2 linked regions of the Anolis sagrei genome follow. The protein of the gene in region 1 interacts with the protein of each later gene in a pairwise test. Links are inferred from orthologs where the notes say so. Each region holds a gene or a part of one and is shown on either strand. Other genes may lie near its edges.

Region 1 (8,293 bases):
ACAACAAAGCAAAAGTGGAAAAGAACTTTCGTAACCACTTTATCCGATCGGCTCTACTAAAGGTCTGGGACCAATACAAAGATAGGATGTACCCCAAGACACCGCTCTGGGTCTCCCCTCTCGAGGCTCACCAAAGGAGAGAACTGGGATGGGGCTTATGGCCCACATATAAAGATCTACTACTCAGGGAAAGAAAGGAAATTAGGATTAAGACTCAGGATGAACTAAAAACGCAGTATAACAACATCACCTGGTTACAACATTGGCAGTTGAAAGAACACTTTAAAAAAGACAACCAACTAGGCTTTATGGAAAACCCGACAGCTTGGGATAGGCTCCTGGACTCCCCTAAAAAATATATCACAAAAGCATACAAGATATTACTAGAATGGTCTACGGAGGGAGAACGCGTTAAAGAATATATGATAAACTGGGCTAGATTAATAGGGCGATCCATCTCTTTAGAGGAGTGGAGTCTAGTATGGAACAGTAAAACAAACTATTCCTATTCCTACTATCTGAAAGAACACTGGGTGAAAATGACGCATCAGTGGTATTTAACCCCAGCTAAGATAGCGAAGTTTTCCAAACAGATGTGCTATACATGTTGGAAATGTGGAGAACAGAAAGGGACTTATAGACACATGTGGTGGTCCTGTGTGAGAATTAACAACTTTTGGAAACTAATACACGAGAAGTGCCAACAAATAATAAAGAAAAATATCCCTTTTAGACCGGAATGCTTCCTGTTAGGACTAACAGGAGGGATGGGGGACAAAGGGGTAGAAAAATTGTTCATCCACCTAATAACGGCAGCCCGCTTATTACTGGCCAAGGTCTGGAGACAAAAGACATTACCAACGGAGGAAGAGTGGATAGAGAAAATACTAGATATAATGAACGCAGACCATCTAACGTATATCCTGTCAGCCTCACGCAACATGCCTATATCTCCAACGAACTGGACCCCGGTCAGAGAATGGCTTCGGGGAAAAAAGATAAATCTGCTAACAGTTTAATATCTACAAATAAAAACAAGACACAGGACTTATACAGGAGACTACGAGGAATTGAAATAGCTTAGAAATAGCAACAACCACAGGAAAGTTAAGCGATAGAAAATATAATGGAAATGTATAGAACTCTTTCGATATGCGAGAAGAAACATTTATGTATGCCTAAGTAAGAAGTTATAGTAAGATAAGATAGGGCTCCTTAGGACAAAGAAAACATACAAGACTAATGTACGAATAGCAAGAGAGAAATTTTATACAGAAATGCAGTAGTAGAGAGAGATGGAGGTCCAATAGTGGCAGCAAGCCACTTGTTTTTAAATATGTTTGTATTGTATCGTATGTTTTTTGTACTAGAGGATCTATGTTAGGTAGTTAGCTAGATAGGATCAATGTGGATTATGAATGTCATAGTGCGGTTGAATGACCTGTATTGTTTTCTATTGTCTTTCTATGTTCATTTAAAAAATTTAATAAAAAATTAATTAAAAAAAAAAAAAAAAAAAGACTGCAGACGACACTAAATTGGGAGGGATAGCCAATACTCCAGAGGACAGGAGCAGAATTCAAAACCATCTTGACAGATTAGAGAGATGATTGGCCAAAACTAACAAAATGAAGTTCAACAGTGACAAATGCAAGATACTCCACTTTGGAAGGCAAAACGAAATGCAAAGATACAGAATGGGGGACGATGCCTGGCTCGAGAGCAGTATGTGTGAAAAAGATCTTGGAGTCCTCGTGGACAACAAGTTAAACATGAGCCAACAATGTGATGTGGCGGCAAAAAAAGCCAATGGGATTTTGGCCTGCATCAATAGGAGCATAGTGTCTAGATATAGGGAAGTCATGCAACCTCTCTATTCTGCTTTGGTTAGGCCACACCTGGAATATTGTGTCCAATTCTGGGCAACACAATTCAAGAGAGATATTGACAAGCTGGAATGTGTCCAGAGGAGGGCAACTAAAATGATCAAGGGTCTGGAGAACCAGCCCTATGAGGAGCGGCTTAAGGAGCTGGGCATGTTTAGCCTGAAGAAGAGAAGGATGAAAAGAGATATGATAGCCATGTATAAATATGTGAGAGGAAGCCACAGGGAGGAGGGAGCAAGCTTGTTTACTGCTTCCTTGGAGACTAGGACGTGAAACAATGGCTTCAAACTACAAGAAAGGAGATTCCATGTGAACATGAGGAAGAACCTTCTGACTGCGAGAGCCATTCAGCAGTGGAACTCTCTGCCCCGGAGTGTGGTGGAGGTTCCTTCTCTGGAAGCTTTTAAACAGAGGCTGGATGGCCATCTGTCAGGGATGATTTGAATGCAATATTCCTGCTTCTTGGCAGGGGGTTGGACTGGGTGGCCCATGAGGTCTCTTCCAACTCTTTGATTCTATGATTCTGTGATTCTAACAGGAATAGGGTACAGGGAGCGCACAACTCCTCTGTTGCACCAGTTCCACTGTCTGCCAATTAGCTTCTGAGCACAATTCAAAGTGCTGGTTTTAATCTACAAAACCCTATATGGCTCCGGCCCAGTTTACCTATCTGAACATATTCTCCCCTATGAATCATCAAGGCTGTTCAGATCTTCTGGAGGGGCCCTGCTCTCAGTCCCACCACCCTCGCAGTTGCGTCTGGTGGGAATGAGAGACAGGGCCTTTTATGGGGTGGCCCCTGGGCTATGAAACTCTCTCCCGATTGAGATCAGTTCTGCTCCCTCCCTCCTGACCTTCCCTGTGGCTTCCTCTCACATATTTATATATGGCTATCATATCTCCTCTCAGCCTTCTCTTCTTCAGGCTAAACATGCCCAACTCCTTAAGCTGCTCCTCATAGGGCTTGTTCTCCAGATCCTTGATCATTTTAGTCGCCCTCCTCATGATGATTAGAGTAAAGTAATTTGGGGTCATTTCAGTGCAGTCAACCACATATGTGGACTGAGTTGGACATGATTTTATCTTGATGAACTGACTTTTATGTATTTTAGTCTACATGTGTTTAATTTATTGTTGACTAGCTGTCCCCTGCCACGTGTTGCTGTGGCCCAGTCTGGAAAATAAAGTAATGTGAAAGTGTTGGTTTCTAATATATTTAAGCTTGTGGGTAAACAGTATTTCTTGTTGTTTCTTTGTCAATGTTGATGTGGAGATTGTCTGGTTTGCCTGCTCTGGAACATGCAACATATAATTGCCCTTCTTTAGAGGTCACTTCCAAATTATAATACTATATTTGAGTGTATGTGAATCATATATATCTATCAATATCTGTGGCTGGATGGCTCTTTGTCAGGAGAGCTTTTCTTGCCCTGGTGATGGGAATTGGACTGGGTGGCCTTAAGTATGGGGGTTCTGTGTGGGAGGTTTGCTCCAATTCTCTCATTGGTGGGGTTCAGCATGCTCTCTGATTGTAGGTGAACTATAAATCACAGTAACTACAACTCCCAAAAGTGAAGGTCTATTTCTCACAAACTCCATCTGTGTTCATATTTGGGCATATGGAATATTCGTGCCAAGTTTGGTCCAGATCCATCATTGTTTGAGTCCACAGTGCTCTCTGGATGTGGGTGAACTATAATTCCCAAACTCAAGGTCAATGTCCACCAAACCTTTCCAGTTTTTTCTGTTGGTCATGGGAGTCTTGTGTGCTAAGTTTGGCCCAATTCCATTATTGGTGGAGTTCAGAATGCTCTTTGATTGTAGGTAAACTATAAATCCCAGCAACTACAACTCCCAAATGTCAAGGTCTATTCCCTCATATTTGGGCATATGGAATATTCGTGCCAAGTTTGGTCCAGATCCATCAATGTTTGAGTCCACAGTACTCTCTGGATGTGGGTGAACTATAATTCCCAAACTCAAGGTCAATGTCCACCAAACCTTTCCAGTTTTTTCTGTTGGTCATGGGAGTCTTGTGTGTCAAGTTTGGTTCAATTCCATCGTTGGTGGGATTCAGAAGGCTCTTTGATTGCTGGTGAACTATAAATCCCAGCAACTACAACTCCCAAATGACAAAATCAATTTTTTTTAGTGAAGGATATGCATTGGGTTGTTAGGTGTCTTGTGTCCAAATATGGTGTCAATTCATCCAGTGGTTTTTGAGTTATGTTAATCCCACAAACGAACATTACATTTTTATTTATATAGGTGAACTATAAATCCCAGCAACGACAATTCCCAAATGACGAAATCAATTTTTTTTGAGTGAAGGACATAAATTGGACTCTTAGGTGTCTTGTGTCCAAATTTGGTGACAATTCCCCCAGTGGTTTTTGAGTTCTGATGGCAGCACGAACTAACATTATATTTTTATTTATATAGAAGATTGGTTGTGGGGGGGGGGGGGGCAAAATACTGTTTGCTTACCGTTGAAAATTACCTCTGCTTGCTTGACATGCCTTCTTCCTCTTAGCACACTTCTCTTTTTCGCCCTCTATTTGTGTCTCTTTGAATTCCACAGCACTGTTGGTCACAGCTGACCTCCAGTTGGAATGCTCAAGGGCCAGGTCTTCCCAGATATAGAAACCTCCCTTGCCTAGTTTCCAGCAAACCTCACAACCTCTGAGGATGCCTGCCATAGATGTGGGCGAAACGTCAGGAGAGAATGCTTCTGGAAGGTGGCAAGAGAGCCCGGAAAACTGACAACAACCCAGTGATTCTGGTCATGAATAGCTCCCCCCACCACCACCTTTCAACAGGCTTTGAAGCCCAAGGATCCAGGCTCCCCCAAAGAGACTGTTGATTCCCAATGAGCCCAAGTGGTGGTGCTGAGCTTTGAAAGGAAGAGAGAAGGAGAGTTTGGAAGTTGCCTCCCCAAGGACGGAGCCCCCTCCATTGGCATGGCTCTCCTCTTGGGAAAGGGAAGGGAGGGAGGGAGAGATTGAGGGAGGGCCTCCCCTTGGCCAGGCAAGGCAGCCCCGGCTCGGGCCTGCCTGCGCCTTTAAGGCCGCCGCTCGGGGCGTGTCCGGGGCAGGCGGCGGAGCTGGTGGGGCCCCGGGAGTGAGTGGGACTCCTTCTCGGGAGGGCGGTGGAAGCGGCTGGGGCTTCGGGAGGACGCGGCTGCTGCCAGCATGGACTGGGGCACGGAGCTATGGGTAAGCTTCCTTTGGGCGGGCTCCCTGCTCCCCTGCTCTGGGGGGGGCTCTGCGCCCAGCGCCCTCGCCCCGCTCCCCCCCCGCCACCCCCAGACTTTGGCCCTCTTCCCTCGGCTTCCTTCCAGCCACTCTGCCTCGCCTCCCTCGCCCAGGTTCTTGAGCAAGCCCTCGCCAGGCGCCCTGCTCTTGCCTTCAAAGCTTTGGCTTTTCCCAGGCACGGATTTGTTCGAGTTCCCTTCCCCACTCCGCCCCAAATGCTCCTCTTCCTCCCCGGTCCTTGGCTCGCCCTCTTCTCTCTCTCCCTCGCTCTCTTTCCTTTCCCCCTTCTCTCCCTTCCTTCCCGCTTTCCTTCCCTCCCTCTTCCCTTCCTTCCTTACCTCCTTCCTTCCTTTTTTCTTTCTTTCCTTCCTTCCTCACCTCCTTCCTTCCTTCTTTCCTTTTCTTCCTTCCTTCCTTCTTTCCTTCCTCTCTCATTCCTTCTCCTTCACTTTCCTTCCTCCTCCTTCCTTCCTTCCTTCTTTCTTTCCTTCCTCTCTCCCTCTACTTCATCTTCCTTCCTCACCCTTCCCTTCCTTCCTTTTTTCCTTTCTTCTTTGCCTTCCTTCCTCTCTCCCTCCCTTCTTTCCTTCCTTCTTTCTTTCTTTCCTTCCTCTCTCCCTCCCCCTCTCCTTCCTCACCCTTCCTCCCTTTTTTCCTTTCTTCTTTTCCTTCCTTCCTTCCTCTCTCCCTCCCTTCTTTCCTTCCTTCCTTCTTTCTTTCCTTCCTCTCTTCCTCCCCCTCTCCTTCACCTTCCTTCCTCACCTTTCCTTCCTTCCTTCCTTCCTTCCTTCCTTCCTTCCTTCCTTGCCTGCCTGCCTGCCTGCCTGCCTGCCTTCCTGACTTCCTCTCTCCCTCCCTCTCTCCTTCACCTTCCTTCCTCACTTCCTTCCCTTCCTTCCTTTTTTCCTTTCTTCTTTGGCTTCCTTCCTCTCTCCTTCCCGCCTCCTTCCCTCCTTTTCTTTCTTTCCTTCCTCTTTCCCTCCCCCTCTCCTTCACCTTCCTTCCTCACTTCGTTCCCTTCCTTCCTGTTTTCCTTTCTTCTTTGCCCTCCTTCCTTCCTCTCTCCTTCCCTTCTCCCTCCCTTCTTTCTTTCCTTCCTCTCTCCCTCTCCCTCTCCTTCACCTTCCTTCCTCACCCTTCCTTCCTTTCCTTCTTTCCTTTCTTCTTTGCCTGCCTGCCTTCCTTCCTTCCTCTCTTCCTCCCTTCTCCCTTCTTGCCTTCCTTCCTGCCTTCTTTCCTTCCTCTCTTCCCCCCTCTCTTTCACCTTCCTTCCTCACTTCCTTCCCTTCCTTCTTTCCTTTCTTCTTTGCCTTCCTTTCCTTCCTTTCTTCTTCCTCCTCCCCTTCCTCACTCTTTCACCTTCCTTCCTCACCTCCTTTCCTTCCTTCCTTCCTTCCTTCCTTCCTTCCTTCCTTCCTTCCTTCCTTCTGTCCTTCATTCTTTCCTTCTTTCTTCCTTCCTCTCTTCCTCCCTCCACCTTCCTTCCCTCTTTCCTTCTTCTTTTCCTCCTTCCTTCCCTTCCTTCTCTCCCTTCCTTCCTTCCCTTCTTCCCTCCCTCCCTCCCTCCCTTCCTGCAGAATGAATGCACTTTCACACACATTCAACTGCCATGGTTCCATGCTACGGGATCAAGAGAGGTGTAGTTTGATGAGGAATCAGCACACTTTGTCAGCGAAGGCTGAAGACCTGGTTGAACTGCAACTCCCGGGGTTCTGTAGCCTTGAGCCAGTTTGGCACCACTTGAAAGGCCATTGCTGCGTGCTATGGAATCATGGGAGTTGAGATTTATCAAGTATTTTGCCTTCTCTACCATACTGGTGCCTCACCAAAGGACACCTCTTCAGATGGAGCTATGGCAGTTCAAAGTGGTGCCAAACTGCATCCGTTCTACAGTGTAGGAGCTTCTCCTGAATGCATTTCTGTCCTTGGCTCGCTGTCTTCTCTCTCCTTCCTTTCTCTGCCCCCCATGTGCCTTTTTTCTTTTCGAGAGGGCATAGGTGGGCTCCACTTCCAATTCGTGGCCTTCCCACCTCACTTGATGGGATATGCAATCTGCTTGTAAAGGGAATATGTGTATTATTTATTTATTTATATTATTATTATTATTATTATTATTTTAATGTCATTTTGATAATGTTGTTGTTGTCTCTTGTATATGCTTTGATTTCATTGCTGTATTATGTTGTCCGGGCTTGGCCCCATGTAAGCCGCTCCGAGTCCACATCGGGGAGATTTATTTTATTTATTTATCGTGTCAGGCAACACGAGTATTACATTTTTGACAGAACAAACAAATATACAAAAGACAGAGTTTGCAAGCTTGGTAGTTGTTTAAATGTCCTTTGACCAGTATCTGGCCACTTGGAGTGCTTCTGGTGTTACCGCAAGAAGGTCCTCCATTGTGCATGTGGCAGGGCTCAGGTTGCATTGCAGCAGGTGGTCTGTAGTTTGCTCTTCTCCACACTCGCACGTTGTGGATTCCACTTTGTAGCCCCATTTCTTAAGGTTGGCTCTGCATCTCATGGTGCCAGAGCACAGTTTGTTCAGCGCCTTTCAAGTCGGCCAGTTTTCTGTGTTTCCAGGGGTGAGTCTCTCATTGTGTATCAGCCATTGATTGAGGCTCTGGGTTTGAGCCTGCCACTTTTGGACTCTCGCTTGCTGAGGTGTTCGAGCAAGTGTTTTTGTAGATCTTAGAAAACTATTTCTTGATTTAAGTTGTTGGCGTGCTGGCTGATGCCCAAACAAGGGAAGAGCTGGAGATGTCTCTGCCTTGGTCCTTTCACTATTGGCTGCTACTTCCCGACGGATGTCAGGTGGTGTAATACCGGCTAAGCAGTGTAATTTCTCCAGTGGTGTAGGGCGCAGACACCCCGTGATAATGCGGCATGTCTCATTAAGATCCACATCCACTGGTTTAGTGTGGTGAGATATGTTCCACACTGGGCATGCATACTCAGCAGCAGAGTAGCATAGCACAAGGGTGGATGTCTTCACTGTGTCTGGTTGTGATCCCCAGGTTGTGCCAGTCAGCTTTCGTATGATACTGTTTCTAGCACCCACGTTTTGTTTGATATTCAGGCAGTGCTTCTTGTAGGTCAGAGCACGGTCCAGAGTGACTCCCAGGTATTTGGATGCGCTGCAATGCTCCAGTGG
Region 2 (8,388 bases), about 23 Mb from region 1:
CTGAAGGATCAAGTGAAGAGAATAGAGGAATTGGCACAGAGTCCCATCTTCAATAAGTTCCCTTTGCAAATCTGATCAGGATCTGTGCCAGCGTGACTTTCTAGGTTTGCAACCTTCCCAACTCTGGTACCCATTGGCTTCTCTTCTCTTTTTGCAACTCTAGTTCTTTAGTCTTGTTCTCTTGCCCCTTTTTATACCGATATCCCAAACTCGTCATGGCTTCCATATAGGTCGCTGTATTATTACCAGTACTATTGCATCAACACACCACCTAGTTTTCTCCAGCTGTTAAACATTCTTTGGCACTGTTGCAATAAGTCGTGATTTGTTAACTTAGAATGGTGGGTGTCCATTTTAAGTTATTGGAATTGGAAATATCCTTTGCCAAGTGCTAAAAATGTGTTGCTATTTCATTATAGTATGGCCTGTACAGCCGCAGTGGTCACCCCATATCTCCTGAAGCAAAGTCTGAGGCAGTCTGCTCCACTATCAAATAGCTCATACTTTCTGGAGGCCCTTCATAATGTTTAGTATTTCTCAATTGAACCAGTTAATTTGGCTTTTACCTTCTGGGGAAAAACAAAACCAAATTTTTAGTGATGGTGGGAGTTGTAGTCCCAACAGATATCTGGATGGTATGCATTACAGGATGAAAAGGGCTGTGTTAATCATGTCATATTAGTCATTATTCAGCAGCACAGCACACATTGCTTTTACTTGAAATGTTTCATAGTATACCTGTTTCTTGTTTGGGCCAAATTACTTGGTCTGCTAGCACAAGGTGGGCAGTGCACAGCCTTCAAAGTGATGGACCAGAGGTTCTTTCAATCCTTACTGGGATTGTCAATGCTGAGGGATTTCATGGATTGTAGGTCCAACAATATCCAAAGAACGCATATTGCTCACCCCAGGACTAGCAGCTTTGCTTTTTTATTTTATTATTATTATTTTGTCATGTCAGGAACAACTTGAGAAACTGCAAGTCGCTTCTCGTGTGAGAGAATTGGCCATCTGCAAGGATGTTGCCCAGGGGACGCCCGGATATTTTGATGTTTTACCATCCTTGTGGGAGGCTTCTCTCATGTCCCCGCATGGGGAGCTGGAGCTGATAAAGGGAGCTCATTCGCGCTCTCCCTAGATTCGAACCTACAACCTGTCAGTCTTCAGTCCTGCCGGCACAATGGTTTAACCCACTGCGCCATCAGGGGCTCCAGCAGCTTTGCTAAGTGTATTATATATGTATATTTGAAATGGCAAAAATATGAAGTTCTTTGGAACTCCAGAAATACATTGCATTTACATTTCTGCAATGGTTGCATCCTTCCCTAAAACTGTCAGTAGTCTGAATCGGATGGAAATCCTTGTTCACGTAATATGGTCCACCTTTTTACATTGGGACATATGCTGTGTTGTTCCTGCTCAATTCATCTGTTGTAGTAGCCCATCATGATGATGAGACAGTTAAATTGTTACATTGCATTATGATTGCTTTTCCAGTACTTTCTGTTGTTGTATAAAGGGGTGGGCAAATCCTCCAGATTGATAATAAAAGGGGACAAAACTTCAGCATGTCCTGTCAAAACACCTCTTCAAATACGGTAATTTAAAAATAATTGGAAACAGTTACCTTTGACAATAATATTTTGCTTTTGTTTTTGAAATGCTGGAAAAGTTAATTTGGAAAGTGATTTGTTTTGTTAAGTCATTACAGTGGCTAAAAAGTAACCCATTGCAATCACTCATCATTATATTATTCTATAATGTTGATGGAAAATTGCATTTCCTACTTTTCTCATTTCATTTCCAGTATTTTTTGTTACTTTATAAGGGGGAGGCGGCGAAACTCTCCTCACCAATAAGAGAGAAGCATAAAACTTCAAACCGTCCTGTCAAAATGCCTCTTGAAATGCGTTAACTTGAAAATAATTAGAAACTGTTACTTTTTACAACAATATTTTGCTTTTAGGGTTAAAACGTAATTTTGTTATATTCTTGATACATTGAGACAACTGATTATATTTAACAACCTTGCTTAATTGGTTACTTTCAGCTTTTGTGACAAATGTCTGGGGTGGCTCCTGTCTGTGTGGCCGACCCATCCAGGTTTACATTTCTCTTCATTTTCACAGGGTGTTTGTGTCTCACTACAATTCCTCTTCCTCACATGGTGTTTGGGTGACTGCAGGTTGCCATTACCCTTTTCCATTCTCTCTCTGGAAACCTCAGGATTTCTTCCCATAGAGACTTAACAGCTCTTGATTCTGGTTGGGGTCGGAGCAGGTTTCATGTTTAAGGGAGGAGGGAATCAGATTCAAAATGTGAAAATGGATGCAAGGACACGGTATTTGTTTAATTTTGGAATGCAATAAAACTGTTGACTTTCAGGAGAAACAATCATGCCATGGATAATGTCTTTTGTTTGTTTTTAATGCTTATAATACCATCAATCAGATGTATAGGAAAACAATATAATGTTGCTACAGCTCTTTTAATTACATATATGGCTATATGCTCAATTGTATGTAAATACTAGTGTATACAGTGTTCCCTCGCTATTTCGTAGTTTGCTTATCGCAGACTCGCTGTTTCGCGGGTTTTTCTTCAGTCCTCCCTCTTTTCCTCCAGCCTGTCTTCATTCCTTTTACTGTCTACATTGAGACCTGTCTCCATTCCTTTTAAGTTGAGACCTGTCTCCATATCTTTTACTTGCCCTTTCCATTCATTTCATTGGTGGCACTCTGACTCTGGCCCCTCCGCTTCTGCCTCTTTGCTGCTGCTGCTTCCTCCTCGTCCTCCTTCTCAAGCCCGACCCACAAGTGCTACAGCAAGCGGCCCATCAAGGCCACCACATCCTCCGGCCCCGGGTGAGCGCCAGGAAGGGAGGGAGGGAGGGAGAGACTCCAGTGGGGCCATGTTTCAAGAAGGAAGATGATTAGACACGCAATGAGGAAGCACACTGCACATGCTCAGGAAACCTTGGCACCACTTGAACTGAGGGAGAGAGGAGTGGGCGGAGTGTCCCTACTTTGCGGATTTTCACTTATTGCGGGTGGTCCTGGAATGTAACACTAGCAGTAAGTGAGGGAACACTGTATACCTGATGTTGCTTGAGCGTCGTTGGGACCACTGCTTACCTTCTTTCTCCCTTCTCCAGCTCTGATAAGGCCTTCTTTGCAACTTCTTCATGGCAACACTCAAGCAGTGGTAGGCAGGCTACCATTGTGCAGGCTACCATTTCCTTCCTCCCCCTCATACACATGTCAACTTCCTCTCTCAGAGACATCACAGGGGATCACCTAACCTAGCAACAGCCAGTCCAGTGAAATCATAGAGGGCCATTTCACCTAGCAACAGTCTTTGTTTTACAAGCATACATACTTCGACATGTGCGTGTGTGATAAGTGTTTGCTGCAATGTTTGCCAGAAAAACAGAAGGTGGGGGGAATGCTTCCTTGCATTGTGTCTTTTTATCCCAACCAATGAACACATTTAGTCTTCATTGGCTCTGTGTCTTATATGAGAGAGAAAGTTCTGTTTGTGAAAGAGAAAGTGTTCTTCACCATTTTTCCTTCCTAAGCCCATAGCCAGAAATACTGAGTTGGGCGTGATCCAAATATAATCAAGGGACCAAATTAAAAGTTAGTGAGATGCAATATTAGCAAATAAATTCATTCCTAAATAGGCTCACCATCCTCCTTGATTCATAGAGTTGGAAGAGACCATGTGGGCCATCCAGTCCAACCCCCCTGCCAAGAAGCAGGAAATTGCATTCAAAGCGCCCCTGAAAGTCATCCAGCATCTGTGTAAAAGCCTCCAAAGAAGGAGCCTCCAGCACACTCTGGAGCAGAGAGTTCCACTGATGAACAGATCTCACAGTTAGGAAGTTCTTCCTCATATTCAGGTGGAATCTCCTTTCCTGTAGTTTGAAGCCATTATTCTGTGGCCTAGTCTCCCGGGCAGCAGAAAACAAGCCTGCTCCTTCCTCTCTGTGAATTCCCTTCACATATTTTTACATGGCCCTCATCATGTCTCCTCTCAGCCTTCTCTTCTGCGGGCTAAATATTCTCCTGCATCTATTAAATAGGTACCTGGGCAGAACATACAAGCATGGGCATGCCAGTCTGATGAGGCCATGTACCAGTTCATTTCTAATCCAGGAAAGAATCCCAGAAGTATGTCTCTACTGCTAGTTTTCTATCTCAGTCTCATAGGCATGGACTCAATTTTACAACTTCCCACCTAATTAAACCTATTTTTGTGTTTGGGACACTTGCCTGTGCTGTTTTAAACACCAAAATCTCATTAAACCTCCAGAGTGCAAACAGCATAGTTTCAGGTTTTTTCTTAGGATTTTTGCATTGATTTTTTAATATCTTTTATGTGTGGACTTTGGCAAATGCATTTTTAAAAATAAAGAACCTTCCTTTTTCTCCCCCCTCTTTCCAAGATGGGAGGTGGCTCATCATAAAAACGTTAAGAAGTAACGACATACAAAAAGTCTGCCAGGAAGTTCATTCTAATTGAATTCAGCCAGTTAAGAATAATTCTTTTTGGGCAATGGCAGGACCAGATTCAAGAGCAGGAGAAAGTATTTTTTAATCCATAACACCAAGAATAGTCCACATCTTTGATGCTCACCTCATGTTTCTGCCCCAACTTTCATTCAAGATAACTTTGAATGAAAGAAAACAGGGCAAATAGGATTTGAAATCTGATCCTCAAAGCAACATTTGGAAGAGGATATATGTTAAAAGGCTGTGATCAAAGCTTTAGTGCTAGAAAAGCAGAGTGGTATTCTGGGCAACTACCACAAGGTTTTTGTGGTTGAATGTTCCCTTAACATTTGCTGTTTGTCATGCAACTAACACACACACTGCCATTCCATTGTAACTATTAGATGCAATTAGATGCAAATAGTTACCATTACCATTAGATGCAATGCTAATCCTTTCCATTGCATCTAATGAAGCAAACTTGAGTCCACAAAAGCTGGTTCTAGTATTTTTTTCTCTCTCTCAGTCTCAAAGATGCAACATGATACTTGGAAACTTTTGTATTCCCCTGCCAAGTCCAAGGTGGGTAGAAATCTTTAGTGCTGAGTTCAGAATAAACCCTGCCCTTAAAATATGTTTTTGGGAACTGAACAACAGTCATACCTATTTTCACAAGCTTCAAAAATATATGTACTGAATCTGAGGTGCCATAGGAGTGAACTCTGAGCTAATTGTTGTTTCTCAGAGCAGAATCATTTGTTTGAGGTGTCTCCTTCATTCTGGCCCACTCTCGGCCTGTTGGTAACTCAGCCATGCTCAGGAAGGACTTACTCCAGGACTCTCATGAAGCAAGATGGGGAGTCTCTTTCTCTCTTGTCTCTGTGGCCTGGTGGTTTCCGAACTTCCTGTTGTAAAGAGAAAAGGCCTTGCAAGACGGAAGTTCGCTCTGGGTGAGATCATCCAGAGTCGTCTTTAACGGGGCCCAAGATGAGCCGGAGGCCCAAACCAGGAGCCAGGACACAGCAGGAAAATACACCATCTAACCTGCTCCAGGACCATGAGAACCAACAAGTGTTTGAACTCCTGGGCAGGAAATGCACGGTAATTCTGGCTTTGTTCTCGGATAGAAAAACTGCAAACAGAATTCAGAAATCTGTCTGGGGCAGAGGGAGGAGCAGGGGGAGGTGGTCGACTGGATTTCTTGGACAAATTTGGGGGATCTAAGTGATTCGAGCATTCAGTCTGGCACAGGAGTAGAAGGACTCATGGTTATGGGCAAGTACCTTCCTTAGAGCAGTGGTTCTCAATCTTTCGAATGCCATGACCCCTTAATACAGTTCCTCATGTTGTGGTGACCCCCAACCATAAAATTATTTTCATTGCATTGTAATGGAAATATCTGATATGCAGAATGTATTTTCATTCACTGCACCAAATTTGGCACAAATACTCGATATGCCCAAATTTGAATATTGGTGGGGTTGGAGGGGGGATTGATTTTGTTATTTGGGAGTTGTGGTTGCTGGATTTTATAGTTAACCTATAATCAAAGAGCATTCTGAACACCAACTATGGAATCGAACCAGACTTGGCACACAGAACTCCCATGATCCCATGACCAACAGAAAATACTGGAAGGGTTTGTCGACATTGATCTTGAGTTTGGGAGTTGTAGTTCACCTACATCCAGAGGGCACTGTGTATTCAAACAGGTGGATCTGGACCAAACTAGGCACAAATACTCGATATGCCCAAATGTGAACACTGGTGGAGTTTGGGGAAAATAGATCTTGACATTTGGGAGTTGTAGTTGCTGGAATTCACCTACAACTTCCAAATGTCAAGGTTCGCCTACATTCAAAGAGCATTCAGAATTCCACCAATTATAGAACTGGGCCAAACTTTCCACACAGAACCCCCATTGCCAACAAAAAATGCTGTGTTTTCTGATGGTCTTTGGCGATCCCTTTGAAACCTCCCTCATGACCCTCCCAGGGTTCCCGACCCCCAGGTTGAGAAACACTGCCTTAGAGCCTGACTTTCCTGTCACTGTCAATCAGAGGATAAACAAGGAGATGTTAGAAAATGTGTTTGATCAGTAAGGGGGGGGGGGGGAGTTCAAATGCCGAGAGATACGATAGAATTTAACTCCCCAAAATGCATCAAGATCGTTGATCTTTTTGGAGGATCCTCTATGCAAAAAATAATGTTGCATCTTAACAAACCTGACAAGCAACTGTTTATTGGCTGCTAAAAAATTAGAAGAGGAAAATGGTAAAAGAAGTGGCACTGATGCTTTGTAAATTCATAAACCAGCACTTGATGGGAAATGGATCAAATTGAAAAATCTATAGGGAACAATGACAATCAGCAGAGTCCAGACTTCATTGTTTTGCCTAGAATATGGCTTGCTAAAATAATAGATGATTTTGTAAAATACAGTTTTGTTGTTTCAAGCAATAGTTAAGTTCTGACATTTGTTTGCCTGGGCACATGATCTATTCAGCTCCTGCAAAATACTTTCTCCTCAAATGCATGGAGGCCATGTTCACCCAGCTTAAAAAAATTGGAACGTGTTGGGTGGCTGGGGACTTGTGGTAAGGATTAATGTGGCCTTTCGTAGGCACAGTCTCTCCCACGAATAGGTCTTCCCCCACCATTTCTCATCTGCAGACAACCCCTGCCTTTCTTTCTTGTTCAGATATCTCAGGTTCCTTCCACACAGCTGAATAGAACCCCACATTATCTGCTTTGAACTGGAATTTATGGCAGGGTGGACTCAGATAACCCAGTTCCAAACAGATATTGTGGGATTTTCTGCCTTGATATTCTGGATTATATGGCTGTGTGGAAGGGCCCTCAGATAACCCAGCTCAAACCAGATATTGTGGGATTTTTCTGGGTTATATGGCTGTGTCGAAAGGCCCTCAGCCTCTACATTTCTCTAATCTGGTGCCTTCAAGATGTGTGATTTCCTATCATGCCAACATGCTGGTAGCAAATAAAGGGATTTATTGACCAGTGCCTTTAGTGAGCAACTGGCTGGAGGAGACATTTCCATATTTAAGGTACTCACTGTCTTGCAATAGTTTGGAAATAAAATTAAAGCCAATCCACTGGGCAAGAAGCCAAGTACATCTTCACAAGAATGAAGGTTTTTGTTATGTTTTGTTGGTCTTCGCATTTTTACTTCATCTTCCATGAATAGAAGTGACCGGAGAAGTTCGACAGTGAAACAACAACGATGCAGAAGGAAAGAATTCTAGAGCTGTCTGTTGTTTCTGTAAACTGCCTTGTCTTCAGGAAATGGAGAGAGAAAAACCACTTCCTCAGTGTGGTGGTGGTGGATCCGGCAATGATGACATATAGCGGGTCTAGAAGTGGGAGAGAGGGCGAGTCATTACCATCAAAATAGGCCCTTTCAGAGTTCAGAAATACACAAGGGTAATATCCTTTAGTAGAAAAAATGTATGCAGTCTATTCTTGTTCGATAATGGTGTACACTTTATTTTGAGACCATGCCTACTTGTAAACCAGTTCCACCATCAAGACGTTGAAGATGGTAGTTTCTGAGCGGGTTAATAGCTATTTAGAGGTTGTTAGCCTACTGAGTGGTTAAATCTTCTACAGCATGCCCATATTTTAAAGAACACTGTTCTTTTTTCATTGCAAAAAAAAAAATCTAAAAATATCAACCGTTTCCAAAATATCATGTAAAATATATATAATCTCTGCTCCAAATCGTAAGTTCATATAATGCACTCACTTATTTGAATCTGTTTAAAATTAAGTACAATTTTCTTGAGTGGGGATTGTTAACTGCCATCTGATTGACTTTGACGTATGGTGACCATGTACTGTATTTCACCGCATAATAATTGCATTTCCCTTCACA

Evidence for each region.
Region 2: the proteins of TRIP10 (region 1) and WAS interact in a two-hybrid assay, tested with the Homo sapiens proteins (2 studies listed by BioGRID). The link is inferred for Anolis sagrei from reciprocal best matches to the Homo sapiens genes TRIP10 and WAS.

Annotation. Positions count from the first base shown.
Region 1 is NC_090022.1:171,013,637-171,021,929, forward strand, and holds the start of TRIP10 (cdc42-interacting protein 4), read left to right. Parts: upstream 1-4,951; 5' UTR 4,952-5,077; coding exon 5,078-5,101; intron 5,102-8,293. UniProt on the Homo sapiens protein: Required for translocation of GLUT4 to the plasma membrane in response to insulin signaling. Required to coordinate membrane tubulation with reorganization of the actin cytoskeleton during endocytosis.
Region 2 is NC_090022.1:194,031,096-194,039,483, forward strand, and holds the start of WAS (actin nucleation-promoting factor WAS), read left to right. Parts: upstream 1-5,206; 5' UTR 5,207-5,480; coding exon 5,481-5,594; intron 5,595-8,388. UniProt on the Homo sapiens protein: Effector protein for Rho-type GTPases that regulates actin filament reorganization via its interaction with the Arp2/3 complex. Important for efficient actin polymerization. Possible regulator of lymphocyte and platelet function.